4 linked regions of the Ovis aries genome follow. The protein of the gene in region 2 purifies or fractionates together with the protein of the main gene of each other region. This does not show direct contact. Links are inferred from orthologs where the notes say so. Each region holds a gene or a part of one and is shown on either strand. Other genes may lie near its edges. The genes, in order: JADE3, ING4, BRD1 and MEAF6.

Evidence for each region.
Region 1: the proteins of ING4 (region 2) and JADE3 purify together in Homo sapiens (affinity purification with mass spectrometry; 3 studies listed by BioGRID and IntAct, with this or other methods). This does not show direct contact. The link is inferred for Ovis aries from reciprocal best matches to the Homo sapiens genes ING4 and JADE3.
Region 3: the proteins of ING4 (region 2) and BRD1 purify together in Homo sapiens (affinity purification with mass spectrometry; 5 studies listed by BioGRID and IntAct, with this or other methods). This does not show direct contact. The link is inferred for Ovis aries from reciprocal best matches to the Homo sapiens genes ING4 and BRD1.
Region 4: the proteins of ING4 (region 2) and MEAF6 purify together in Homo sapiens (affinity purification with mass spectrometry; 5 studies listed by BioGRID and IntAct, counting the BioPlex papers as one, with this or other methods). This does not show direct contact. The link is inferred for Ovis aries from reciprocal best matches to the Homo sapiens genes ING4 and MEAF6.

What each region holds. Positions count from the first base shown.
Region 1 is NC_056080.1:57,874,397-57,880,465, reverse strand, and holds the start of JADE3 (protein Jade-3), read left to right. Parts: upstream 1-2,579; 5' UTR 2,580-2,630; intron 2,631-3,014; exon of another isoform or gene 3,015-3,092; intron 3,093-6,069. UniProt on the Homo sapiens protein: Scaffold subunit of some HBO1 complexes, which have a histone H4 acetyltransferase activity.
Region 2 is NC_056056.1:209,612,725-209,616,892, forward strand, and holds part of ING4 (inhibitor of growth protein 4), read left to right. Parts: intron 1-1,513; coding exon 1,514-1,585; intron 1,586-3,288; coding exon 3,289-3,455; intron 3,456-3,636; coding exon 3,637-3,751; intron 3,752-3,917; coding exon 3,918-4,023; intron 4,024-4,168.
Region 3 is NC_056056.1:225,164,737-225,170,571, reverse strand, and holds the start of BRD1 (bromodomain-containing protein 1), read left to right. Parts: upstream 1-1,805; 5' UTR 1,806-2,495; coding exon of another isoform or gene 2,496-2,502; 5' UTR 2,503-4,031; coding exon 4,032-5,476; intron 5,477-5,835. UniProt on the Homo sapiens protein: Scaffold subunit of various histone acetyltransferase (HAT) complexes, such as the MOZ/MORF and HBO1 complexes, that acts as a regulator of hematopoiesis.
Region 4 is NC_056054.1:12,341,154-12,347,097, reverse strand, and holds the start of MEAF6 (chromatin modification-related protein MEAF6), read left to right. Parts: upstream 1-2,476; 5' UTR 2,477-2,484; coding exon 2,485-2,574; intron 2,575-3,768; coding exon 3,769-3,884; intron 3,885-5,944.

The sequences.
Region 1 (6,069 bases), on a different chromosome or scaffold from region 2:
TTATATGTAAAATATAAAACGATAATACTTTCACAAGGACATACAAGAGAAAATTTTGTGGGACCTAGGGCTAGCTGAAATTTTTCTCAGACATGACACCAATCCATGATACATAAATGCAAAGACTGATAAGTTGGACTTCATCAAAATTAAAAGTTTTGACCTTCAAAATCTCTTAAAAGGATGAAAAGACCAGTTACAGACTGGGAAAATATTTGCAGATCACTTATCTGACAGAAAACTTGTATCTAGAATATATAAGGAATTCTCAAAATGTAATGGGCAGGGCTTCCCTGATGGCTCAGTAGTGAGGAATTCGCTTGCCAATGCAGGAAACACAGGTTCGATCCCTAGTCCAGGAAGATCCCACATACCAGGGAGCAACTAAGCCCCTGTGCCACAACTATTGAGCCTGTGCTCTAGAGCCTAGGAGCCACAACTACTGAGCTCACGTGCCACAACTCCTGAAGTCTGCATGCCCTGGAGCCCGTGCTCCACAACAAGGGAAGTCACCGCAATGAGAAGCCCCTGCTTGCCACAACTAGAGAAAAGACTGCATAGCAACAAAGACCCAGCAGAGCCACACACAAAAAAATTTACTGTTGTGGGCAAAATACATGAGCAGACATTTCACTAAAGAGGATATACAAATGGCAGATAAGCATATAAAAAGATGTTTAACAACATCAACTATTGGGGAAATGCAATTTAAAACAAAGAGGTATCACAACACATCTATTAGAATGATAAAAATAAAAACATAGTCACTATACCAAATGCAGGCAAAGATATAGAGAAACTGGATCTCTACATTGCTGGTGGGAATGTAAAATGGTATAGACAGTCTGGAAATTTTTGGCAGTTTCTTATAACACTAAACATACTCATACCATCCAACCCAGTAATTGCACTCCTGGGTATTTGCCACAGAGAAGTTAATGTTTACACAAGAAACTCTGCATGAATATTCATCGAAATTTTATTCTTATACACAAAAATTGAAAACAACCCTAATACGCATCCAGGTGAATAGTTAAACTGTAGTACATCCATAGCAATACTACCACTCAGCAATAAAAAAGAATGATCTATTGATATGTGCAACTACTTGGATGATTCACAAGGAAATGATGCTGAAATGAAGAAAAGCCAGTTTCAAAAGGTATGATTCCATTCACATGTGATAAAATTGCACAGTTCTATACATACAGACACAGAAATGAGTGCATTTAAAACTGGCGAAATCTAAGTAAGGACTGTGGCTTGTACCAATGTCAATATCTTGGTTATGTAAGATATTACCATTGGGGAAAATTGGGTGAAGAGTACTTGAAACTGTTTTGTAATACTTTTTTTTTTTTTTTTACAGATCCTGTGAATCTATAATTATTTCAAAATAAGTATAATATTGAGGTAAGGCTTCCCTGGTAGTTCAGCTGGTAAAGAATCTGCCAACAATGCAGGAGACCTGGGTTCCTTTCTTGAGTTGGGAAGATCCCAGGAGGAGGGCATGGCAAACCACTCCAGTATTCTTGCCTGGAGAATCCCCATGGACAGAGGAGCTTGGTGGGCTACAGTCCATGGGGTCACAAAAAGTCGGACACGACTGAGCGACTAAGCACAGCACAGTCCAGCAATACTGAGGTAAATAAAAGGAGGATAATAAATAAATGAGGTAAGTCTGAAGGGCCACGAATATTTTAGAATTCACATATTTGCACATTATGAAATAGAACTACATCTTTAATACTGAAAACAGACAAAATACAAAAAGAGCCCACATTTTTGTTTAGCCTAGAAATGTGAATGAAAATGACAATTATGAGTTCATGGTAAAGAGTTTGCTGCTTAAACATCTGTATGAGTCAGTTTTCATCCAGAGACAGACACACAAAGACGCACACACAGTCACACTTATTCATTCATTGATTAGAAGACATTGGCTTACAAATGTGGGGCAGGCAAGGCAAATCCAAAATCTATAGGGCACACAATCAGAAAGGAATGACCAGACCCATCCAGATTATCCAGAATAATCTCCCTCACTTTATGTCAACTGATCAGGAGCTTTAATTACACGAAAATACCTTCACAGCAACACCTCGGTTAGTGTTTGACTGAATAACTGGGGGCTGTACCCTAACCAAGTTGACTCATCAAAAAGCCACACCTCATAAACCACTTGTGCCTGCAACTGAATAAATTTATTCTGTGAATAGACACTTCGGCTTGAATATTATTATAGGTGTAATTCAAGCGCAAACGGCTTAAATCAATAGTGACCGACAACAAGTTGCATACAGGAGGGTCCACTTATAGAACTTCAGAGTTGAAAGGGGCCATGAAAAGCTTAGGTAGCATTTCAACACAACCCAGGCACCTCCCCATCGTCGGCGTCTCCAGCCCTCAGAGGTGGTGAGGCGCCTCCAGCCCTCAGAGGTGGTGAGGCGCCTCCAGGCTGCAGCGCACCCAGCAGGAGCTGAGAGGAACCCACCTGGAGCCCCGCGCGGCGCGTGCGGGAGCACTAAGTGGGCGGGGCCTCAAGGCGCGCGGCGGTGGCAAACTGCGCCCGGCCCGCCAGAAGAGCGCGCGGCGGTCAGAGCGGTCGGACAGCAGGGAGCCAGAGACGGGTAGGGCGAGCGCGGCCGGCGGTTGGCTGCGGGTGGGGGGGCGGTTGGAGTGGAACGCGGAGGTTGGGGAGACGGTGGAGAAGGAAGGAAGGGGAAGAGGCGGAGCGTGGGAGCGCACAGTGTCAGGAATACAATAGTGTTCCGCGCCGCTTCAGCCGCTGCCGCCGCCGCCTCCTTCGCTGCCGCCGCCGCCCAACCGCCTGCCCAGCGCTGAGGCCTGACGGGCCGGGCGGGCGGGCGAGGGCCGAGGGCGGGAGCTGAGGCGCGGGGGCCGGCCCCGGCGGATCCGGCGGCGGGGCGGAGGGCGGGGGGTAAGGGAGGAGATTAGGGGGCAGGTGCGAGGGAGGGGAGAGAAGAAAGCGAGCGGTTCAGGGGGCGGTTACCACCTCTACCAGACTCGCCCGGCACGTTGCCGGGCCCTAGTGTGGAGCCGGGAAGGAGCAGCGGTCGCGCCGCGCCAAGGTAGGCGCCGCTGACGCTGGACGCGGGGCGAGCGGGTTTGGGGGGCGTCGCGTCGGGTGGGTAGCGGGAGTGGCGGCCTCAGGGAGTGGAAACGGGCGCCACGGAGCGCAACGTCCCAGAACAACCTCGCCGCGCTCCGGGTCGGTCCGGCTCCACACGGCGGTGGCCTCCGGCGTCCCCAGAGCCTTGGAGCCGAGAGCGTGTGTGGGCTGAGGTAAAGTGCCCGGTGGCTCCTCCGCCGGCTCCGGGCAGCGCTGGGTGGCCGGCCCGGGGGCGTGGGTGGTGGGGGCGGCCGGCCGGGTTCGGCTGCGGCTACACTCGGGCAGAAATTGAGCGCCATAACTGTTGCGGCCGTTTCCTCCGGTGCCCCCTCCTGGCGCCCCCTCCCTCCCGGTTCACTGCCTGCTCTCGGGGCTCCCGGGGTCCGACCCGCGGCGTGAGGACGCGCTCTGCGGGCCTCCTGGGGCCGGATGCTCCAGGGAGCGGGGGCGCACCCCGACTGTTTCGCTGTTGAGGGGCGGGAAGAACCGAGTCCCAGAGACTGGGGGCCGGGCGGTGCGGGCGGCGGCGTGGTCCCGCCGTTAGTGAGCCCCGGCGTCCCGCGGGCTGACGAACTTTCCCTCCCCCTCGCGTTATTGTTCCAGAGCTGCCGGTCCGGGCCGCCGCGACCGGAGAGTGCCGGGCGGTCCGGGGGGGCGGGGGTGGGAAAAACGGGAGGGCTTTCCGAATCTTACGGGAAAATTTTTCCCACAGCTGGGCACGGAAAACTTAACTTTTCTCAGCAATTGAGTTGGTTTTATTCCCCACGCCATGGTGATATCGATTAAAGAAAAAAAAAAAAAAAGTCTGCCTCCAATCTTTTCCTCTCGCTTTTCTCGAGCTACTGCTTCGGTGAAGTCCGACTTTAAATTGCACGCGGTAACCAACCTGCGTTTATTATTTGTGAGGGGGGAAAGCGGGGGGAGGGACCTCGAGTGTGGGACCATAATGGTGGTATGTGAAGGCATGTTTAGAAGTTGGTATCATTGTGTAGCCCTGGGACATATGCAGCTCCTAAGCATTTGGCAAGAAACTTGTTTGGCCGCTTCTCTGACTTTCTGAGATGCAAGGAAATCCATGCTCTCAGATGTTCATGGGGTTGTTTTGGATGTGAGATCCGTTGATCTGTAAAGCTGAGGTTGAGATCCCCGTGTCCGCCCCCCTACCCCGCGGGCCTCCTCGGGCCCCCCCCCACCCCCCGCGCGCCTGATTGTGTAAGAAATCAAAACCGTGTTGATGGTGATTCCAGTGGCCTGGAGGGAAAGGCGACCTCATTCTCTGATAAAGATAACTGTCTGCTTCTCTCTAAACTGGCAAAGTAATGGAAAATAATTTAGGTAAAGACTGGTTGCACAACATCTTGGCTTAGTTTAAGCAACCCAGAATCCACTTTCCCAGAGTAGTTCTCTTAAATACCTTCCCTGCAGCCATTTCTTGTCAGCCTGGGGGGTGAGGTGGCGGGGGGTGGGGGTGGCGGTGAGAAAGGAGTCGGCCTGAACAAAGCATTCTATTTTTATTTAATACTTTCATAACATCTGTAAACAATGGGAATGTGGATCCTAGGCCTCTGTACCCTTTAAATAGTGTAGTTCTCATGCTTTTATAGCATCATGTGGGTAAGTGAAATAGATGTAGTTTTTCCCCCTCTCTTCTGTTTATAGCCTAGGAGTAAGGATCCCACCTGCTAACGCAGGAGACTTGGGTTTGATCCCTGGGTTGGGAAGATCCCCTGGAGGAGGGCATGGCAACCCACTCCAGTATTCTTGCCTGGAGAATCCCATGGACCAGAAGAGCCTGGCGGGCTGTAAGTCCATAGGATCGCAAAGAGTCCGACTTGACTTAGCAGGCAGGCATTCTATCTACCTTTATAACGTGTCATTTTCTTTTTCATCTAAAGGGAGCTCTGAATTTAAATACTTGAACTATAAGAGGGTAAAAACTCTCTCCAAGGGTGAAAGAATTACATGAGATCTTCTCAGTGTTAGCTGCCATCACTGACACCTTTCCTTCAACTGTGCTCTTCTCTACAGTTTTGTTTGCTTGAGAAGTGCTTGTAACCTAGTCTTGGTGCCTTGACAGAGTTTCTTGCATTCTTCGTCCAGTCATTTCTGAAATATTCAGGGGTCCTTGTCTGGTTCTAGAACCTACACTTTCATTCTCCCACTTTTCTGAGTCGTGTTGCTGTGAGTTGGTGAATCTTGGTCACAGGTAGGGGAGAGTGAAGAAGGGCCTCTCAGTCCTTCCTGAAGTGTTTGTGATCAGTTGGCCACCAGGAGTGACTTGGAAGCAGCCTGAGGGGCACCTGTGACCCACCTTCTGGCCTGTAGAGAAGGTTCCCAGGAGCAGGACAGATGATGGTTCATGGCTCTCATAGTTGAGTTGTATGGGTTAGAGAAAGTTAAAATATTTAAGAACAAAGGATGTTGAAGGCTGTAGGTTGAATATGAATTTCTTTGGTAATGCTTGTCTTTTTTCTCCTTTGTGTTCCACCAACTCTAACAACCCATTTCTCCCCTAAGCTACACAAAGCCATTTCTTCTTTATACATACTTTGAGGTATGGCTGGAACTAAGCAAGTATTTGGGGGGGAGGCACGAGGCAGAAGGCATTGAGTGCTTTTGAAGACGTGGCATTACAGAGGGCTCTAATAAGCCTTGATCAGGGATACAGAGGTTGAACATTGTGTAGGACATAATGCATCTATCTCCTCATAGAGCTTACACAAAACAGGAGCTGAGGAAGGTAGAGATCATATGCTGGTTTACATTAAGAAAACCTCATCCAAGGATAACTTACTATGATCTTCATTTGTCTCACCTTATAGGTGAGAGTTGAGTGTTGGGTGACACCCATGTGGCACTCTTCAGAAATGGCTAATAGGGGGACACTTGAATGATTTCAAGTTTCTATCTGTTGTCCTACTTACAGTGGCTAGGAA
Region 2 (4,168 bases):
CCGAGTCTATAGGTTAAAGCATTGGATGCATTTTAAAAGTTTCAAAGTGGAGTCATGGAAAGAGAATTTTTTTTATGAGAGAAATGCAAGTATTCATGCCTTTATATTCAATTATTTATTGAGGATCCTCTGTATGCATGTCATAGTTCTGAACACTAGGGAAATAGGAGAGAAGAAGACAGACATATCTAACACTTCTGGAGAGCTGGGGAGACATACCATATAACTAATTATATAATTACTTATTTAATTACATTGGATAAGTGCCCCCAGAGTATCTGCCCTGCCAAAGGGCAGCCATAGAATAGCATGACAGCATAACCCAGGGCACTTGGAGTCAGGGGCAGTCAGGGTTGAGCTGAACTTTGAAGAATGAACAGAAGTTCAGTAGGCCAAGAGGGATGGTGGAAGTGGGGTGAAAGAGACGGGGCAGGGCGTCCTGGGCAGAGAGAGCAGTGTGCGGAAAGCCAAGTGTCTGGAAGAGCACCGGAAAGTTCAAGGCACTCAAAGAAGGCCAGTGTGACAGAGCGGAGCGCGCACAGACGGGGACTGACCTGAGTTAGGTCTGGTGTGCAGCACGGGCCAGAAAGTGCAGAGTAGGACTTGGGAATATTGCAGTGGAAGTGACTGGAGGTTTATAAACGGGAGAGTGACTTGATCCGATTTGCATTTAAAAAAAAAACATTCTGGCTACTGTTTGGAGAGCAGATTGGAAGTGTGTGTGTGATCAGTGGAGGGTACCAAGAGGGTATTTGTAAGTTGAGGGCAAAAAGATCTTTTTGTAAAAAAAAAAAAGTACTTATTTGGCTGTGCCAGGCCTTAGTTGCAGCATGTGGGATCTTTCATTGCAGCATGTGGGATCTAGTTCTCTGAGCAGGGATTGAACCCGAGCCCCCCTGCATTAGGAGCATGAAGTCTTAGCCACTGTACCACCAGGGAACTCCCAAGGGCATGGAGAGGGAAGGGCTGATTTGTAAAGTTACTGAAGAGGGGAGGGTGGGAAAGCTGTGCAGAGATGGGGAGCTCGCTGTGGAGACCGGTGGACATGGCTCCTCCTGAGAAAGCAATGATGAGTGCTGTCACAGATAGTCCAACGGTTTGAAGGAGGGATAACCAAGTGCTCTTTGGACCTATTTTTTAAAAGTAGCTAGTGTGTGTGTGTCTCTGTGTGTGTGTGTCTGTGTGTGTGTGTTAGTCGCCTGACTCTCTGCAGGGTTTATGCGTGTGTGTGTGTTAGTCACTCAGTCGTGTCTGACTCTTTACAACCCCATGGACTGTAGCCTGCCAGGCTCCTCTGTCCATGAAGTTCTCCAGGCAAGAATCCTGCCATTCTCTTCTACAGGGGATCTTCCCGACCCAGGAATTGAACCCGGGTATCCCACATTCCAGGGGATGTGGGATACCAGGGGTTGTGTCTCAGATTCTTTACCATCTGAGCCACCAGGGAAGCCCCCCAATGCAGCTATAGGGCTTAGGAAGTCCAGGGAGTCTTAGTTTCTCCTCTTCTCCCCAGGTATTGAAAACCTGCCCTTTGAACTGCAGAGAAACTTCCAGCTCATGAGGGACCTGGACCAAAGAACAGAGGGTATGTGCAGAGTAAGGAGCCCGGTGCCGAGTGAGTGTGTGTGATCGTCTCCCCTCCTGTTTGGTGTTACCAATATCACCTGGTCTGATCTAGATTGCTTTGTCTTCTCTTTCACTCTCTTGCAATTCTTAAAAGGAGAGTAATGATGACCTGTGTTTCTGTGTCAGCTTTTTCATAACTCGTGGAGTATTGTAACAATGCCACAAGAATTTAGAGATGCTGTGCTCTTTTATATCTCCCTCAGGAAAAGTGAGAAAACCAGTCAATCCTGGAATCATTTGTGTTCTCCATGTTCGATATGTTTGTAGGAAGACTAACTAGAATGCTTCTACTCCACTGGGCTGTTAACATTATTGTCACAAAATTCAGTGTGGCTTTAGACTACAGTTCACATTGGTACACAGCAGCTTTGCTGCATGAGGAGATGTTAGAAAGAAAGTGGAAAAAAGAAAAGGAAAAGCAGCAATTAACATCAGAATCTCTACACTATATTCTTCAACCTTACAGAAGCATTAGGTGCCATCTGTGGCCGTCCTTGGACATTGATTAAGTTTGGCTGCATTGAGACATTGACTTGGAGCCTGAGGCTACACTGCGGTGGGCGAGTTTGTCTCTCATAGTCGAAGGTCTCTGTTGGTGCTATCGACCATGCTTGCTGAAGGATATGTAGGTGTATCCTTATGTATCCCTGCCCAGGGGTGTTAGAATGCCTAAAGCTGTGATTTGAGTTACTCTGGGTCAGTTTGCTCATGGACAAATGAATATTATCTAAGATCCTGGACACAGGCCCCTGAGAACTCCCTGCTGAATGCCAGCCACCAGCTCCTTGCTTTGTAATATAGTTCTGGCTCTTGAGTTCATGCACAGAAAGACCCATTGGGAGATGACTGAACCACATACATGTTTTTCCAACTTCCTTCAAGGGCCTGGAATAAAGCAGAGCATAAACCTAGTATGCTCACACGTCCTCGCTGTGGTTACTTGTTGCTAAACCGTGTTGGGAGGCATGCTTTTGTCTCCGTGCACATTTTCTCTGAGTGCTGTAATATTAGGCAGTAGGCATCTATGGTCTCGGTGTTTGGGGGCATCACCAGCCTTCTCCTAGTAAAATGTTTGGAGCAATAGCTAAAATGAACACACAGGAGAAAAAAGTGATGGAGAATATTTGCAAGTTGCAAATGATGAACCAAACAGGGTGGACAGTAAGCAGAAGAACTGTTCCATTAGTGAACTCGGGCCTAATTTTCAATACTGAGATGTAGACGTACAGACCCTGGAAGTCAAGAGCAGCAGCAGATGACTCAGCCTGGTCTGCAGCTCTCAGAGCTATCGCAGAATGTTTCTGAGATGAGAAATCAGATGGCTTTTGAGACAGAAGCAGCAAGCTGTGCAAAGAAGCATCTTCAGACATTGACAGAAATGTTCTTCATATTAGTGCAGCATGCAGAGAATCCTTCCTTGTGTTTCCATAAGTCCAGTTTCAACTATGCTAGCAATGTCTCCAGCAACCAAAGGTGCCTTCACAGCACATGTTGTGGCCATGTTGCATCGCTTGAGTATGTGGCACAGTACCTAGGAATGTTGAGTGTGTTTTAATTCAGAGGTTGTGATGGTCAGTGCAAAAGGTCCAAGGAGCAAGAGGAGGAAGTGTGTTTAATCTTGCCACTCGGGGGCCATTATGACCAGCCCTGTCTCTGTTGTAGACCTGAAGGCTGAAATTGACAAGTTGGCCAGTGAATATATGAGTAGCGCCCGCAGCCGGAGCTCTGAGGAAAAATTGGCCCTTCTGAGACAGATCCAGGAAGCCTATGGCAAGTGCAAGGAGTTTGGTGATGACAAGGTGCAGCTTGCCATGCAGACCTATGAGATGGTATGGCCCTACCCATGGCTCCCCACTACCTCCCGTCTATTCCTCAGGGTCCTCCACCCCTCCTTTAGCGTGCTGGGATCTGTTTGGGGTCTGGGAGATGCATGGATTCTGCCTTAGCCTGTTTGCTTTTACTGGAACCAGCCTGGTAGCTCTTCCTTCTCCTTCCTTCCTTCCCACCCAGGTGGACAAACACATTCGGCGACTGGACACAGACCTGGCCCGCTTTGAGGCTGATCTGAAGGAGAAGCAGATTGAGTCAAGTGACTATGACAGCTCTTCCAGCAAAGGCAAAAAGAGTGAGGAGGGGGGTGGGCCATGAGAGTTGGAGCGAAGATTCCAAGAGGGCAGCCAGCCCATCCCTCAGCTCCAAGGGAGGACCCCTACGTTGGAGGAGAGGAGGGGTCCTTAACCCATCTTTCTGTCCCTCTGCCTTCTGGCTGCCCCTCCCCTCTTCCCTGGAAGGTCGGACTCAAAAGGAGAAGAAAGCTGCCCGTGCTCGTTCCAAAGGGAAAAACTCCGACGAAGAAGCCCCCAAGGCCGCCCAGAAGAAGTTAAAACTTGTGCGCACGTGAGTGAGTCAGGGAGCACCCTGCCAAGTGACAGGCTCCTCTTTGCCCCCGCCCCGCCCCTCGCCCCCTTCTCTATCACTCTGGTATCTGCTGGATACAGAGGGGAAGCCACAGACCACTAGCCTCACAGGGATCTCCTCGTGC
Region 3 (5,835 bases), about 16 Mb from region 2:
GTGTCCGGTGCCCCGTCGCCCGCCCGGCGCCCCCCTCCTGAAGCCCGCGCCCCTCAGATGCCCCCGGCCGGTGTCCGGTGCCCCGTCGCCCGCCCGGCGCCCCCCTCCTGAAGCCCGCGCCCCTCAGATGCCCCCCGCAGCCCGTGTGCCGTGCCCCGTCGCCCGCCCGGCGCCCCCTCAGATGCCCCCGGCCCGTGTGCGGCCCCCGGCGCCCGCCCGGCGCCCCCCTCCTGAAGCCCGCGCCCCTCAGATGCCCCCCGCAGCCCGTGTGCCGTGCCCCGTCGCCCGCCCGGCGCCCCCTCAGATGCCCCCAGCCCGTGTGCGGTGCCCCCTCAGGTGCCCCTGGCTCGTGTGCGGTCCCCATTGCCCACCCGGCGCCCCCTCAGGTGCCCCCGGCCCGTGTCCGGTGCCCCATCGCCCGCCCGGCGCCCCCCTCCTGAAGCCCGCGCCCCTCAGATGCCCCCGGCCCGTGTGCGGCCCCCCTCCTGAAGCCCGCGCCCCTCAGATGCCCCCGGCCCGTGTCCGGTGCCCCATCGCCCGCCCGGCGCCCCCCTCCTGAAGCCCGCGCCCCTCAGATGCCCCCGGCCCGTGTGCGGTGCCCCGTCGCCCGCCCGGCGCCCCCCTCCTGAAGCCCGCGCCCCTCAGATGCCCCCCACAGCCCGTGTGCGGCCCCCGTCGCCCGCCCGGCGCCCCCCTCCCGAAGCCCGCGCCCCTCGGGCGCCCCGGCCCCAGCGCCGGCGCGCGGCCCTGCCCTCCGTCCCCTCCCCCGGCGGCGGCCGCGCGTCATGGCGGCGGCGGGCGGGGCGCGTCTCGCACGCAGCGCGCCGGGCGGAGCGCTCGCCGCATTGTTTGCTTCGCTGGGGAGCGAGCGGGCGAGCGAGCCGGCCCTGGCGTCCGAGCAGCCCCGCGCCAGCGCCCCGCCGCCCCGCCGCCGCCGCCGCCCGCCGCCCGCCGGCCGGGCTCCCGCGCCGGGCCTCCGCTCGGCCCCGCCGCCCGCGCGAGCCGCCGCCCGCGAGCCCGCGGCCGCCGCGCCGAGCCGGGCCGGGCCGCCGCCGCCAGGAGCCCGCGCCCAGAGCGGCGGCGGGCCGGGCCTGCGCGGCCGTTGGCGGAGGAGCCGCGGGCGCCATTAGCGCCGCCTCGGCCGCGCCGGCCCCCGCGCCCGCCGCCCGGCTCCCGCGGCCGCGGCCCCGAAGGTGAGTGCGCCGGGCGGGCCGGGGCCGCCGCCTCGCCCGCGGGCCGCCGCCGCCGCCGGCCTCTCGGTGCTGGGGCCGCCGCCATGTTTGGGGCCGCCGCGGCGACGCATTGTCCGCGGGCGGCGGGGCCGGGGGAGGCCGCGGGGCGGGGGCGGCGGCGGCGGCGGGGCGGCCGGGGCCGGCGGGCGGGAGGCCGGCCTGGAGAGGCGGGGAGGGAGGGCGGCCCGGAGGCCCGGACGGGAAGCCGGGGGGCCGGGGAGGGAGGCCGGGCGGCCGGGGAGGGAGGCCGGGCGGCGTGGGAGCTCGGCAGGGAGGGAGGCGAGGCCGGCGGGCGGGAGGCTGGACGGGGAGGGAGGCCGGCCGGGTTGAGAGGCCGGGGGGCCGGCGGGGAGGTCGGCCTGGCGAGGCGGGGAGGCCTGGGGGGCCGGTCTGGAGGCTGCAAGGCCAGGGAGGGAGGGCGGGCCGGGTTGAGAGGCTGAGCGGCCGGCAGGGAGGGAGGCCGGCCGACGGGGAGGCCCGGGGGGTCCGGTCGGGAGGCTGCAGGGCCTGGCCGGGAGGCCGGGGGGCCGGGGAGGGAGGCCGGGCGGCGTGGGAGCTCGACAGGGAGGGAGGCGAGGCCGGCGGGCGGGAGGCTGGACGGGGAGGGAGGCCGGGCTGTGGAGGTGCCGAGGCCGCCCTGCCCGCCGCGCCTCCCGCCCGGCGAGGTGGGGGCGGCCCGGGGTCTCGGCTTCCCCGGCCGAGCGTTTGCCCGAGGGTCGCGTTATGTAACGGACGCGCTGGGCTTGTTGAGCCCGGACGGCAAACTTCCTGTTCCAGGGCCGCGCGGACCCGCGCGGCCGCCCCCTCCCGCGCCCGCGGCGGGCGGCCTCCGGGCCCCCAGGAAGAAGTGACCTGGTTGTAATTTACGGGGCACGCGCTACAGGCGGGCCCCGCCGGAGGAGCCGCCCACCGCCCGAGAAGGGTCGCGGGGGCGGCGCTGCATGCCGCCCCTGCGCGAGGGTGTTCGTGGCTTTCCTAGGGCCAGGCGGGAAAGGCGGTGTTGGAAGCTGAACCGGTCTTGGGTGCCGCGTTCCTCTCTTGTGGCCACAGGGCTTTTCAGGGGGCATTTATCAGAAGGGTCTGGAGGGTCTGTGAATGGCGTCCACGTGGGAACCTTTGTCCTGCACGGAAGCTCCAGCTGGACGGAGGTTGGAGGTTTGGAGCCTGGGGTGTAGGGGAATGGTGGCCTGGTGAGGTGGTTTGCAGAGTGACCAGCGCCTTCTTGTCCCTGTCACCATCGAGCTTTCAGATTGCAGAGCTGCCATGACCAGTAAGTGCTGTCCTTCTTGTAGCAAGTGGCCAGATACAAAGTCTCGGTCACTTCAGGAGCATGTGGGTTTTGAAGAGCCGGTTATGGTTAGTGCTGTTGGTACTGTGCTCTGGAGGAGAAAATTACACGTTTGCCTTTCCTCTGCTGAGTAACCAGCTGTGGCTTCTGCCCCACCCCAAAGGACCCCTGAGGCTGCACGGGGGGCCCTCCTGCAGGCTGGGGTGTGGACAGCAGGGGGACTTGCTCCTCTCCCCCGGAAGGGCTGGCAGGGCCAGGGCCAGTTGGGGGGCAGCTTGGCTGACTGCACCCCAGGAGTGCAGGGCTGTGGGCCCCTGGGATGTGGAGATGCAGGTGGGTTAGGGTTGGTTTGCCCACGGGCTCTCAGGCTCCCCTTTGTAGGGCATTCTTGTCAGATTTCACAGAAACATTTCTGTTTCACAAAAGAGAAGGAAAACCACAGTCGGAAGGCTCTGTCTCAAGGAATGCATCTCAGGTCGGCTGCGATTTCCTTTCAGGTGTGACAGCGCAGGCCGCTGTGTGGCGCCTTTTCCTGGCCGACTCCCCAGGGCCTTGTCCGGCGGGGGGCCTTGGGCTCCACCGGGCACGAGTGTCAGCCAGTCTCGTCAGCATCACTCTGCTTCCTGTCAGTGGCGAGTGGTGGTTTGGAGTGGGGAGAGGGCACTGTCATCAGTTCCTAAGGTGTTACCCTGCTTGGCGGGTGCTGGACCAGAGTCCGGGATCGTCAGGAGAGGGAGACTGGAAGTAGAACTTGCTGGTGGCTGATGGCGGATGTCTGACAAGAGCAAGTGCTCGAAAGTCTCCATGGCCAAGGCTTTAGGCGCTTGAGCCTGTGCTGCACCCGGTAGAGAGGAGGAGCACTCTGTGGATGGCGAGGGGGTCTCTGGGTTGCCCTCACTGTGACAGGATGATGGCCCAGCACTGTGGTCAAGCCAGCAGCGAGAGGGTCCCTGAGGGGCAGGCAGGTGGCTGGAATGCGGTGGCCACTTCCGAGGCCCTGCAGGGGCTGGGTGGGGTCTCCTGGGGTGAAGCCTGCCCAGGCCAGTATGGGGCTGCCCTCATGGGTCCTGGCGCGGGCGGTGGCCTGTGCCTCAGCATGGCTGTGCAGGGTGCGTTCGTGGCGACAGTGGCGGGCTGAGGGCTCTCTCCTGAGCAGCAGCGGGGGTCAGGCAGTGGCCAGAGCCTGCAGGAGTGCAGCTCTGTGCATGTACTGTCTTGGGCTCGGGACTGTGACCCGAACTCGCGAGGGGTGTGGATCCAAGCCGACCAGTGAGCTGTGGGCGTCGGCATTCTGGAGGGACTTGTCCCCGTGTGTGCCTCTGGGGGCCCTCCTGACTGCCTGCCTTCTGCTCTGGTCCTGGGAGCCCTTGGGGGGCAGTGGCCTGGTGGCAGTGGCTGGTGGCGGTTGTTGAGGTGCCTGCATGAGTCCAGGATGAGTGATTTTGGGAGCCTCGGGCAGGTTACCTGGGAGTTGTGTTTGGATTTAGTGCCAGTTGGTTCGCTCTGCGCACATGTGCTGGGTGGTTTTCACCTCTCCTGTCTTCTGCATGGCGCTCACGTGTTGTCTGTCTGTTTCAGGGAGTCAGTGCCAAATGAGGAGGAAAGGCCGAGGTCATCGCGCTGCAGCGAGGCACCCTTCCTCCCCCGGCAGCACCAAGCACTCCCCCACACGAGAGACCCTGACCTACGCTCAAGCCCAGAGGATGGTGGAGATCGAGATCGAGGGGCGCCTGCACAGGATCAGCATCTTCGACCCCCTGGAGATCATCCTGGAAGATGACCTCACCGCCCAGGAAATGAGCGAGTGCAACAGCAACAAGGAGAACAGTGAGCGGCCGCCCGTGTGCTTGAGAACTAAGCGGCACAAGAACAACCGGGTCAAGAAGAAAGGCGACGCCCCGCCCGGCGCCCACGGCGCGCCCGCCTCCGCCAGCGCCCTCCCTGAGCCCAAGGTGCGGGTGGTGGAGTACAGCCCCCCGTCGGCGCCGCGGCGGCCCCCCGTGTACTACAAGTTCGTGGAGAAGTCAGCTGAGGAGCTGGACAACGAGGTGGAGTACGACATGGACGAGGAGGACTACGCCTGGCTGGAGATCGTCAACGAGAAGCGCAGGGGCGACTGCGTGTCGGCCGTGTCGCAGAGCGTGTTCGAGTTCCTCATGGACCGCTTCGAGAAGGCCTCGCACTGCGAGAAGCAGAAGCAGGGGGAGCAGCAGTGCCTGATTGACGAGGACGCGGTGTGCTGCGTCTGCATGGACGGCGAGTGTCAGAACAGCAACGCGATCCTCTTCTGCGACATGTGCAACCTGGCGGTGCACCAGGAGTGCTACGGCGTGCCCTACATCCCCGAGGGCCAGTGGCTCTGCCGCCACTGCCTGCAGTCCCGCGCCCGGCCGGCCGACTGCGTACTCTGCCCCAACAAGGGCGGCGCCTTCAAGAAGACGGACGACGACCGCTGGGGCCACGTGGTGTGCGCCCTGTGGATCCCCGAGGTGGGCTTCGCCAACACTGTCTTCATCGAGCCCATCGACGGCGTGCGGAACATCCCCCCCGCGCGCTGGAAGCTGACCTGCTACCTCTGCAAGCAGAAGGGCGTGGGCGCCTGCATCCAGTGCCACAAAGCCAACTGCTACACTGCCTTCCACGTGACGTGCGCCCAGCGGGCCGGCCTCTACATGAAGATGGAGCCCGTGAAGGAGCTGGCCGGTGGCGCCGCCACCTTCTCCGTCAGGAAGACCGCTTACTGTGACGTCCACACGCCCCCCGGCTGCACCCGCAGGCCTCTGAACATTTACGGGGACGTGGAGATGAAAAACGGTGTCTGTCGGAAGGAGAGCTCGGTCAAAGCGGTCAGGTCCACGTCCAAGGTCAGGAAGAAAGCCAAGAAGGCCAAGAAGACGGCCCGGGAGCCCTGCACGGCCCTGCCGCCCGTGTGTGCGCCCTACATCCCCCCGCAGAGGTGAGCGCTGCAAGGGGGCGCAGGGTCTGTGCGGGCCCGCCACGTGCCGTCTGCCCGGCCCTGACGGCCCCTCTGACGGGGGGCCTTGTTCCCGCTGCCCTTGGCGGGAGCGTGGCTGTTGTCAGAGACTCGGGTCTGAGGCGGGGCCGTGTGTGTGTGTCTGGTCTCCTCGAGGACCGGGGCCGTGTGTGTGTGTCTGGTCTCCTCGAGGCCCGGGGCCGAGCTCGCTCGGCCGCAGCCCTGCCTCGGGTGCCCAGGGGTCACTGCCCTCTCTGCCTTCCTCTCTGTGCTCACGGCAGCGTTTGGGGATCTTGTGAGGACTGAAAAAACGCACGCATTTATTTATCTGGCTGCCTCAG
Region 4 (5,944 bases), on a different chromosome or scaffold from region 2:
GGACCACCAGAAAAGTACCTCAACACCCATTTATGATAATTAAAAAAAAAAACAACTATCAGTAAACCAGAAATACAGGGGAACTTCCTCAACTTGATAAGACTGAATACCTTCCTCTTAAGGAACAAGTCAAGGATATCCACTCTGGCCATTCTTAGTCAACAGAGTACTGGAAGTCTAGCCAACGCAGTAAGACAAGAAAAGGAAATAGACAGCACATAGATTGGAAAGGGAAAAAAGAAAACAAACTTCCCTGTTTGCAGATGAAATGACTGTCTATTTTAAAAAGTCCCAATGGAGGATTTGAACATTGCTGCAGAGCAACTAAGCCCGTGTGCCACAAGTACTGAGCCTGTGCTTTAGAGCCTGTGAGCCCAAACTATGAAGCCCGTGCTCAGCAACAAAGAGAAGCCACTGCAGTGAGAAGTCTGTGTACTGCAAGGAAGAGTCGCTCCCACTCACTGCAACTAGAGAAAGCCCTCTGCAGCAGCAAAAGACCCAGTGCAATCAAACATGAATAGAGGCTTCCCTGGTGGCTCGATGATAAAGAACCTGCCTACCAATGCAGTGTTGAGTCCTGCCCCCAAGGCCACAGAAGCGGAGCCCAGAACCAAGGTCACCTCTGAAGCTGACTGAGCCCCTTTGTAACTGAGCCCCTTTTGTTTTCAGAAGACTCCCTGACTTCCTGACCCCCAGTCAGGCAAAGATGCCCACTTCAGCAAACACCTTATAGCACCCCAACCAATCACCTAACACCAACCTTGCAGCAGGCATTTTCTTTGGCTTGAGGCTATAAAAATTGGCTATTAACCCACAAAAGCCGTCAACTCTCCCTGGTCTCTTAGGAGGTTGGCCCACTGTGCTCTCGGTGCCTACTTTATCTCTGCTCTTCATTCTTATACTCGCTCCCTGCTGGAATGCTGTGTGTCTGGAAATTCTTTACCAACCTATGCTCAAACTGCTTAACATGCAGGAGATATGGGTTCGATCCCTAGTCCACGGAGATTTCACATGCTGCAGGACAGCTAAGCCCGGGTTCTGCTGAGCCTGTGTCCTGGAGCCCGGGAGCCACGGCTGCTGAGCCCACGTGCGGTAACTACTGGAACTTGAACTCTCTAGAGCCTGTGCTCCGTAGCAAGTGGAGCCACCGCAAGGAGAAGCCTTAGCACCACCATTAGAGGGTAGTTTTGAATTATTGTTATAAAACCCTTCATCACATCCTCCCAGGGTGGAACACATAGTTTTTCGAGACAGAAGCCCAGTTTGTCTTCCTTTGCCTGGCAAAGTGATAGAGCCTTCCTTTTCTACTTCACTCAAAACTTTGTCTCCAAGATTTGATTTGGCATTAGTGTATGGAGAGGCCAAGCTTTCCATAACAACATTAGACTTACAGCAATTGTGTTAAGTATGCACTATTATTACCTCCATTATACAGATGAGGAAATTGAGACAAGTGAAATTTAGCTACCTGCTCAAGGTGGCCCAGCCTCATCAATGGTAGAGGTAGCGTTTTTTAAATTTTAGTTTTTTATTGAAGTATTGTTGATTCACAATGTTGTATTAATTTCAAGTGTACAGAAAAGCGATTCACATATATGGAATCTTTTCAGATTATTTTCCTTTATAAGTTATTACAATACAATGAGTATAGTTTCCTGTGCTATAGAGTAGGTCCTTGTTGGTTATTTATATTATATGTAGTAGTGCCTGCATATTAATCCTAGACTCCTAATTTATTCCTTGCCCTCTTTCCCCTTTGGTAATGGTAAATTTGTTTTCTGTGTCTGAAAACTCACAGAATCATCATCTCCCAGACCTCAGCTTTGTTCCTCCTCCTCCATTTCTGCCACCAGCCAGGTGTCTGTTCCAGCTCGTCTGTGCCCTTAACCACCGCACATACTTGTCTCTCTAAAGGGCAATAGGGAGCCACTGAAAGGTTTTTACCTAGAAGGTGACACATTTGTTTTCTAAAAACAAATCATCCTGGCACCACTTTGGATAATGGATTAAATCGAGCTAAGGATAGAAACAGGAGGCTGTTGGAATGTCTCCAAAAACGAGAGCCTGGATGAATGAGGGAGGTGGCAGACAAAAGGAAACAGATTTACGAGCTCTGCTCGAGTCAAGTCCAGAGGACTTGGTTTTGGATCGGATTAAGGGGGTGAAGAAGGGTGAGGCCGGTACAAAGGTTTCTGACTCGAGTAATTCCGCGGACACTAAAAGTCATTCACTGATGAGACTTCCGAGAAGTCTTATTTTGGACACGGTGAGTCTGCAGTGCAGAAATGCGGCCGGGACCTAGGGCAGAGGGCACCCTTGGGGTCCTGCGAGCCCACCGGCGGGAGCTCTGGGGGGCGCCCAGCGCGCCTCCGGAAGCCGCGCGCGCAGGCGCAGTGTGGCGGCGGGCGCCCCCTGGCGGGCGGTGGCGCGAAGGGACCGCCCCCAGCCTAGCGCTGCCGCCGCCGCCGCCCGCCTCAGCCCAACATGGCGATGCACAACAAGGCGGCGCCGCCACAAATCCCCGACACCCGGCGGGAGCTGGCGGAGCTCGTGAAGCGGAAGCAGGAGCTGGCGGTGAGGGCCGGCACCGGGGGTGCCCGGGTGAAACCCCCGCGCTTGCCCCCGTCTCCGGGCCCGGGCCCGGCCGCTCCGGGCCGTTCGTTACTCCCCGGGCGCAGCGCGGCGGCTGGGAGTCCGCCGGCCTGAGGACGGCTGCGCATTGCGCGGCCCGCCGGCGCCTCGGCTTCCCGGCCGGGCGGATCTGGCGCCGGGAGCCGGGGGCGGGGCGCGGAGCGGGGGAGGGGGAGGGAGGCTAGGCCGGCGGAGGCGTGGAGGGAGGTTGGCGCCCGCGGGTGGGGGCTTCCGTGTGGGAGCCTGCGGCGGCGAGGGTCCGCGAGCCCCGCGGGCTGGATGAGGGCGGGCGGCCCTGGGCTCTTGGAGCGATTGGGCGGCAAGCGTGCCGGCAGGGTGGAGGAGATCGGCTCCGGCTTGGCTGTGGGCTCTGGGGAGGTGGGGTAGGAGACGGATGTGGGAGGGGAGACCCACACATCCATTCTGACCTTTGGAGGATGGAGGGGCGTTAATGTCTTTGCGGGGAATAGGATTAGATCCGTTGGATGGGGCTTTTGATGGGCAGGCGTGGGATGTGTTCGGGGACTTCTTAGAAGATGACAGGTGAGGGGGAGCGGACTCAGCCTAGGGAATTAGAAATTGTGACACGCGCCTGGGGCCCCTTGCTCCCTGGTGGCTAAGCCGTCCCTCCCCTTGCGTTTTTGGCTGGAGCACCGGGAGGCGCATCTTACCTGAAGCTGCCCTTCCAGGTTTCCATAGCAACCGGCCGCCCGGTGCAGGCGGCCTTTCGGAGCTTGCAGGGAGGCGAGCGAGTTGGCGCTGGAAGGCTGCTCACCCTTCCCTCTCCGGTAGCGGTGTCTTTTATGCGTGGGAGTGGAGACTGCTCACCTTCTTCCTCCGCGGTTTCTTGACAGCTGGGTTTCCACGAAGCCTCTGAGTATATACAGACTTTTGCCTGGGTGTACATTTTTCTAGGGACAGAATCTATTTCATTTTATTCTTAAAGGCACCCAGCAAGACAGGTCTAGACTGTCTTGTCTGAAACAGCCTGCCCCTACCCATGTCATCCCTCTCTCCACAAGGCTGACTCGGTGTCGTTGAACTTGAATTTCTAAGCCTGATACCAGGATGTCAGTTTGGTCCGACTTAATGCTTGCATGTAAAAGGCATCAACTGTTTCCTTGTCTTTCACCTCAGGAAACACTGGCAAACTTGGAGAGACAGATCTATGCTTTTGAAGGAAGCTACCTGGAAGACACGCAGATGTACGGCAACATTATTCGTGGCTGGGATCGGTATCTGACCAACCAAAAGTGAGTGACAGAAGCCTGTAGTGTTGCTTTGTGCCCTACTAATGTTTGCATTTGGTGCTTCCCTGGCGGCTCAATGGTCAAGAACCCGCCTGCCAGTGCAGGAAGTGTGGGTTCCTTCCCTGGGTCAGGAGGATTCCCTGGAGAAGGAAGTGCCAACCCACTCTAGTATTCTTGTCTGGAAAATCCCACTGACAGAGGAGCCTGGTGTGCTGCAGTCCATGGGGTCTCAAAGCATCTGACACGACTTGCGACTAAACAGCAACAACTGTATTTGTGATCAGGACTATGTATGTCCTTGGCGGTAGCTTTGGAGGGAAGCAGTAGTAAGGTGGGGTGGACAGAGGTCTGCATTCGAGCTTGGTCTCTGGTTCAACCCCTGCCTCACTGAGTAACCCTGGACAAATCCTACACAGTAGGGGAAGTCTGGCCAATGGCACAGGGTTGTGTGAGGCTTAAATGGAATACAGCATATAATACTTTATATACCAGCATGCCTCTTGCTATTTTGTACATTTTAATCAGTCAAGAGTTCCACCCTCACAGGATTTGCCCTACCTATATGCCAACTGTGCCATGGTTTATTTAGTAATATTATTCTTAAAAATGTTCTAATTTTTTTTTGAAAATTTTCGAATCTAGAGAAAAATTGAAAGAATAGTTCATGATCTCTTGATCTCCTTCACCGATCACCAGTTAGCTTGCTGTCACGTTTGATTTCTCTCTCTTCCCTTTCTGTAATTTACAAGCACACACTCTATGCGGGCATGCCTGCTTAGTCACTCAGTGGTATCCAACTCTTTTTGACCCCACGGACTGTAGCCTGCCAGGCTCCTCTGTCCATGGGATTTTCCAGGCAAGAATACTAGAGTAGGTAGTCATTACCTTCTCCAGGGGATCTTCCTGACCCCGGGATCGAACCTTGGTCTCCTGCATTGCAGGCAGATGCTTTACTATCTGAGCCAACAGGGAAACCCATACATCCCCATATCTATACTTAAAATTAAAAAAAAAAATTTTTTTAAATAATTATAGATACATAGGCAAAAAACAATACAGAGAGGTTCCATATATCCTTCACTCAGTCTTCCGCAGTGGTTGGGTTTTATGTAACCATTTAGTACAATGGTAAAAGGAGGAACCTGACCTTGGTACAATGTGTAAGTTTAGTTCTATCATTTTATCAAGTGGGTAGCTTCCTGTAACCACCACCGCAGTCAAGATATAGAACTGTTCTGTCACCACAAAGATCTGCCTCCTGCCACCCCTCTGTAGTTGTATCTCTCCTTTCTTCCATATATGTGTATTATACTTTCTGCTAAACCATTCAAAAGTTAAAAGCAGATCTTGGACACTTCGTCCCTAATTGTGTTAGCAGATACCTCCTAAGAATAAGAGCATCTTTCTTAACGTAACCACAATTATGCCTAGAAAATTAGCACTACATTAATAGTATTATCTAATATACAGTCTTTATTCATATTTCCCCTAATGGCCCCCAAAATGCATTGCTAGCTCATTTTCAACCAGGTAGTGTTTGTGCATTGCATTTGGCTGTTATGTGTCTTTAGTCTCTTAATTTAGGATCTTCCCAACCTTTTCATGGAGAAGGCAATGGCACCCCACTCCAGTCCTCATGCCTGGAAAGTCCCATGGATGGAGGAGCCTGGTGGGCTGCAGTCAGTGGGATCACTAAGAGTCGGACACGACTGAGCGACTCCACTTTCACTTTTCACTTTCATGCATTGGAGAAGGAAATGGCAACCCACTCCAGTGTTCTTGCCTGGTGAATCCCAGGGACGGGGAAGCCTGGTGGGCTGCCGTCTATGGGGTCGCAGAGTCGGACACGACTGAAGCGACTTAGCAGCAGCAGCAACATTTTCAGTGGTGAGCTTGTTTATGACATTATCTTGTAGAATGTACAAATTGTAGGTTTTTCTTGTTGTGACTTCATGAGGGATCCTTTAAATACTTTTGGCAAAAATGTTGCATTACTGATTATGTACCTCTTGTTTACCTCCCAGTTGTTTTCTCTTTTTTTGACTGCCCATGCCATGTCGGAT